Linked DNA regions of Kluyveromyces lactis. The protein of the gene in region 1 purifies or fractionates together with the protein of each later gene. This does not show direct contact. Links are inferred from orthologs where the notes say so. Each region holds a gene or a part of one and is shown on either strand. Other genes may lie near its edges.

The links.
Region 2: the proteins of RSM28 (region 1) and AIM23 purify together in Saccharomyces cerevisiae (affinity purification with mass spectrometry; 3 studies listed by BioGRID). This does not show direct contact. The link is inferred for Kluyveromyces lactis from reciprocal best matches to the Saccharomyces cerevisiae genes RSM28 and AIM23.

Annotation. Positions count from the first base shown.
Region 1 is NC_006039.1:1,053,479-1,056,661, reverse strand, and holds RSM28 (mitochondrial 37S ribosomal protein mS46 RSM28), read left to right. Parts: upstream 1-1,629; coding exon 1,630-2,643; downstream 2,644-3,183. Other genes in the region: TPT1 (tRNA 2'-phosphotransferase), read left to right, coding at 509-1,219; CORVET complex subunit VPS3, read right to left, coding at 2,732-3,183. UniProt on the Saccharomyces cerevisiae protein: Component of the mitochondrial ribosome (mitoribosome), a dedicated translation machinery responsible for the synthesis of mitochondrial genome-encoded proteins, including at least some of the essential transmembrane subunits of the mitochondrial respiratory chain.
Region 2 is NC_006041.1:1,376,515-1,379,846, forward strand, and holds AIM23 (Aim23p), read left to right. Parts: upstream 1-1,584; coding exon 1,585-2,628; downstream 2,629-3,332. Other genes in the region: URA2 (bifunctional carbamoylphosphate synthetase/aspartate transcarbamylase), read left to right, coding at 1-913; KLLA0_E15401g (uncharacterized protein), read right to left, coding at 2,734-3,332.

The DNA.
Region 1 (3,183 bases):
CCTGTCTTTCCCCTGATTTCGTCCTTTCTGAAGGGACTCTATTACTCGACTACTAACTCTGGTGTCTTTGACCCCAGATGCGTTTTGCAGTCCCTGATATGGCGCATTCTGTTACAGTATTTTGCTTATACACAATCATTAATTTACATCTTCTTTTTCTTTTCCTTCCCCGTCAGGTTTCGTGAACCAAATATGGGAACTTTATCATGTACATAACGAATTATGTTGGTCAACGGTCTCTATTATTTAATCAAACTCTATTTTATCATTTTTACTATGCAACTTCAAGGCGTTTACGTACGGTGCCTACAGTGCACATTGTAATTCCTAAGTTTACATCTATATATACGTTCGTGTGTGTCATCTGACTCATATTAGGTTCCATCCAATTATTTTTTCGTTGTCATATATATTTCATTCCATTAGTTATGTATGACCGATAGAGAACGACATGGTCAAAGCTATTGGGGAAAACAGAAAGTGCTAAGCTCGATTTAACTGAACCATTATGAACACCTCGCATTCGCAGGAACCTAAGGACAGAAGTGTGAAAATTTCGAAAGCATTGGCTTATTTGCTGAGACATGGTGCTGTGAAGGAAAACTTGCCTATAGATTCTGATGGTTACATTGCATTGGATAGAATACTGCAGCATAACAGACTCAAAAGCTTGAAAGCAACGTCAACAGAAATACAGCATATTGTTGCTAGTAATGACAAGCAACGATTTCATATCAAAACTGATCCGAATACAGGGATAATGTACGTCTGTGCAACACAAGGACATACATTGAAGCAAATTGCTCCATCGCAACACGTTTTAAAACCAATTACCAACATAGAACAACTATCAAGTAAATTGGTTCATGGCACCAACGTATCAAACTGCATTTCAATTCTTCACTCAGGTTTCATCAAAAAAATGTCACGGAACCATGTTCATTTGTCTCCCGGCATTACTGGAAAAGATACGGATGTCATCAGTGGAATGAGAAGTTCTAGTAACGTTTACATCCATATCAAAAGGATCCAGGAAATGCTAGACAGCCTCAACCTTGTGAAATCATTAAATAATGTTTACCTAACTTCTCAGGACATACCGTTGAAATTTATTGATTTCATCCAAGTACGGAAAGGCAGATCTGCAGCATCTAGTGAACAACTTCAACAGCTAAAAAAGTTGGCTACAGAGATGAAAGTTCCAATCGAGATTATCTGAAACGACTTGATCGCTTTATCTATACATATATATATCACCTCTTAATAATTAATTGACTTGTTTTAGACTTTCCACTGACAACATCAATTTTTAGACGAGGCATATCGCTGTATGTACTCGCCGTTGTATTAAGTTCATATCAAAACGTCAGAACCCACCGAATGTTGTATTCCTTCTGTCATCATAAGAAATTTAGATCACGTGTGTTTTTATCATTTTGAACGCCTTGAAAATTTTTGATCTTTCATAAAACCTATGAGAGTGCGAAACTCGTTTCAGTATGATGAACTTGATTAGTTCTTATGGTATCACGGAGATATTTAGGTATAGGGTTGTAATAAACCAGGTAACGCTATATCAAGTTGTGATCTGTTTAAGTGTGTGACTAGCATTAATATATTTACTTAATAATGCTAGCTTCTACATTCTCTAAAAGGGCTTATAGCTCTGTCTCTCCGGACTTTTTAGCATCAGTTTTGCAAAGAGTGAAGGAAGTTCCTATCAAGGCAAGAGAACCACGTAAACCAAGATCTGACAGAAAGGTGAGGTCAGCTGGGAGGGAAGATAAGAGACAAACAGCAAGATTTGATGACAGATCCGGAGGAAATAAACCCAGGGATAATAGACAAGTCCGTAATGGTCAAGACCGTGGTGGTAAAAATTTTAGAGAAAGAACACAAAGAACGGATACTAGAGGAACCAATGGCCCGGTAGTACAAACAGGTACGGCTAAAAGACAGACACCAAAGATTACCGGTACTAATGAGTATAGTGAGATTTCAGGCAAAGTTCAAAATTTGGGTACCAGACAGAATCGTAGAAGCGATGAAAGGAAAACTCGTAAAACCGTTCCAGGGTTGAAAATTTCCAGTAATTTGGGATCGGAAAACGTTGTGCAAAATATTCACAACTCGGCTGTATATGTTCCACAAGATCCAACACCGTTATCGTTGCTAAGATACAGACCTGCTCTGGCTCCAACTTTCAGTGCAAGGACATTCAGATATGCAGTTTCAACACTAAAAGACGCCGACTTCCCTGTGCATCGTTCATTGAATGATGGTGTCACAATTAATGGAAAGAACGTCAGTAAGCGTATGACAGCGAACAAAGACAACTTTGGTGAATACGTGCCAGCTTCCATTTTGAAATTGCAGGTGGAACCGTTGACAAAAAACATCCAAATTTCTCCGGATCTAGAAAAACTTGAGCAATCCGTCAAGGGTAGTTTCCACATTCTCAAGCCATACACAAAGAAGGACTTTGCCAAACTAACAAAAGCAGAAGACAAAAGAGAGCAACTTCTGCAAAATAGCGAAATTGTGAGAAAGAGTTTAGAACAAAGCAACTTGGCTTCAACTGAAAAAGAACTTTTGCAAAAAGTCTGTTCCGGTTTGGCACCAGTCTCTGAATTGACAGCTTGATTACAAGCCAGATCGCCTATAGACAAGATTAACCTCTATTTTTCATGTATATATTTTCACAATGCACTTAATGATATATCACACTATTTCACAGTTCTAAACAACGTTCGATATTGTTTATATTCTGAGTACGATGCCTTAAAATTCCTTTCTTAATCTGTAGATTATATGTTGATTCGTCTTTTCGTCTGAGTAACGGAAATAGGAAACCCGATAACACTGATATTTGAATGGTTGGGGGTATTTTTTCCAAAATTTCTATAAGTAGCCCAGAGTCGTTTATACAACACGTATTCTTGTTAAGGAATTGACTAATGACCCTAGTATTGTTGAGACTTAGATAGTGATCGATAACTTTCAGCACTACCTTATCGTTGGCTTGTAACAAGGACTCCACCGTAGCAAAATCATTCCGTGATAAATATATATCAAGTAGTTTTTCGAACCCGATCTTTTCCTTTAATACACTGATATCTGTGATCATGATTCGTAGAACGAAAGAAGCATCGATATCATCAATAATAGAACCTTCTTTTATAT
Region 2 (3,332 bases), on another chromosome or scaffold:
AAACATTCTATCAGTTAACCAATTCAAGCGTTCTGATTTCCATGCTCTCTTCGCAGTTGCTCAAGAGCTCAGAGCTGGTGTTGAAAGGGAAGGTGTTTTGGACGTCATGAAGAGCCGTGTTTTGACTACAATGTTCTACGAACCATCAACCCGTACATCATCTTCATTCATTGCTGCTATGGAACGTTTAGGTGGTAGAACTGTCAACATTAACACTTCTGCATCTTCTGTTAAGAAGGGTGAAACATTGCAAGATACCATCAGAACATTAGCCTGTTACTCTGATGCAATTGTCTTGAGACATCCAGACGAAATGTCTGCCCACATTGCTGCCAAGTACTCACCTGTTCCTATCATCAACGGTGGTAACGGTTCTCGTGAACATCCAACTCAAGCCTTCTTGGATCTATTCACTATTCGTGAAGAATTGGGTACTGTCAACGGTATCACTGTTACCTTTATGGGTGACTTGAAGTTCGGTAGACCAGTTCACTCCTTGTGTCGTTTGCTACAACATTACCAAGTTAGAATTAACTTGATCGCTCCTAAGGAATTGAGGTTGCCTAATGCCTTGCGTAAAGAATTGCAAGATTCTGGCTTATTAGGTATTGAAAGTGAAACACTAACACCTGAAATCATTTCCAAATCCGATGTGTTGTACTGTACAAGAGTGCAACAAGAAAGGTTCGAAACCGAGGAAGATTACTTGAAGCTCAAGGACACTTACATTGTTGACAATAAGATCTTGTCTCATGCTAAACAACAGATGGTGGTCATGCACCCACTACCTCGTGTTAATGAGATTCGTGAAGAGGTTGACTACGATCATCGTGCAGCTTACTTCAGACAAATGAGATATGGTTTGTTTGTCAGAATGGCATTGTTAGCCATGGTTATGGGTGTTGAATTATAAAGGAGCTAAACAGATTCGCGTTCGGAACTTTTTTCAGAATCAATCCAAAATCAAACAAAATAATTTAAACATGGAAGTAAATCGTTCATTTTACTTTAAATTCATCAGAAGGAATTCCTTAAACTAAGAAAACTCTTTTTTTGTGGGGACTTGAAAAGAGATATTTAATCGGAGGAAGAAAACTGATGAAATATGACTAAACTACCTTCATCTGTACCATAGTAATACAAGGACTTTCATAGTAGGAAAATAACTTCCTTAAAATTACAAAGTGACTTTTATCTATTGCACTTTCTATTCTTTGAAATGCTCAAAATTTCAGATACAATTAGTATATTTTGACATATATATCATTTTGTCGTACATATATAGTTCAAAGGTTTATCCTTACATTCACATCTGCATCGTTTAATACATTAATATTTCGCATCGACTTTATTTTCATTCTATTGTTCTCTTTTGTTTGAACCTATTCAGCTGTCAGTCTCTAGGCAAAACCAGCAACATATTAGTAAAAATGATCACGTGACAGATATCAACGCTTTCCCTTCTCTGTCAGAATATCTCAAAATCTTAATATGAAAGACAGTTGTATTTTTTTGATTTGATTAAGTTCAAGTCATCTCCGATGATAGAATTGCCTTGAAATGTGGTACGTTGGGCTGAAATAAATGAAGTACCACTATATACAGATGCTCAGAACTACTTTTAAATACAGCATTTCTTCAATACGTTTATTTTGCAATAATCGGGTTCTCCAGAACGAATCAAGGGCTGTATCGGATCTTCTTTTTAACCTACCAACATACAATCCAGCGACACATCGAAAGAGCGGTAACAATTCTCCACATAAAAATCGTGATAAACACCGCCATAGAAACGGTAATAAAGATCAACGGAATAAAAAACTTGTTTTCAGATGGAATAGTGGAACAGAGAAACAGCAGGCAGCTGCCAACTCGGTGCTAGAGGAAATACTAGCAATAAATTCAAAGGGTAACATCAAGGCAATCAATCCAGAAACTAGCAAGCTAGAAGAAGCCAATATTAGGAACTTTTTGAAGGGCGTTAACCTTGAGATAAATGGGATAGCTATGGTGAGTATCGATAATGCTGCGTCCGGAGATGTTCGTCTACCCATTGTCAAAGAAGTGCCAACAAGACAGGCATTAAAGAATTATTCCGACAAACTATCTAAAATTAAAGAAGAAGAACTTATAAAATTGGGTGTCAATATAAAGAAAACTGGCCGTCGCTCTCCAGACTCGAAAGCGGATTCATCTTGGAAATCAATCAAGGTTTCATGGCAAATATCGGATTATGATTTGAAAAAACAGAAATGTAGTGAAATTGTTTCTAATTTGGAAAAAGGTAGCAAGATTGCTCTTTTCATTAATGATAAAGACTCTTCTAACTTGTCACCTATAGATGAGGAGGAATTAGAAGCGATGCAGGAATCTTCTATTTCTAAAAAGGAAATGAAAAGAAGGGAAGAGGTTTTGGAGAAGCTAAACGAAATAATCAGCGAATATTCATCACAGATTACACAAGAAGGTTTGATCAATCAAAGAATAATTATGAAAGTAACTCCAAATCTTGTAAATACTAATAATGGAGTTGATAAAAAAGCTCTCAAGGAGCAACGGAAACGGGAAAGGCAGGAAAAGCTGCAACGCAGAATTGAGAAGAAAAAAACCAGCGATTCCACCGAATAACCAGGAAATATCTCGGACGATAGACGTTATAATGGCATATGTATCTTGTAAATATTGATAATTAGCGTACATATATCGAAAAATTTCACGTAATTGTGATGTATTCTAATGAATCAATAATGCTCCGATTAGCGAAAGGTCATGTAAGTCACCGTAGCCAAATTGTGGAATGGAAACTAATAAGTCATCTAATGGGGACTCAGCCAAATTGGAGCCGAAATTAGACCAACCCTTTTTCTTTTGCTCGGGGTTAACGAATTCAAGGTGTTTTAAAGCGGTTATGAGCAAATGTTTGGATCTCCAAAGTTCAACTGTTCTCTTCATTTCTGACATAGAGACACTCCAGATAGCACCAGCGCCATTAAAACTGCCCGGAGAAGAAAGAAATAGCCTTTTCCGGGAGTGTGAGAAGTGAACACCCTTACCAAACTCAATAGAGGACTTGACAGTGTTAAGGTCAACTAATGTGTCAAGTTCCAATATTAACCAGACCTCTAGTGCAGAGTTGCCAGCATCTTTGAATATGTAGACCTTATTGAAGAGCAACTGTGATATTGCAATATAATCTACTTGATCATGAGTCCATACGTGCATTTCTGCACCAAAGAATCCATGTTCAGAGGATGCTATAATATCCCCCCATTTCCATGGGACGTCTTCGCTAGGAAAGATGATATCATCCTCTTTAATGTAAAACGATGGTG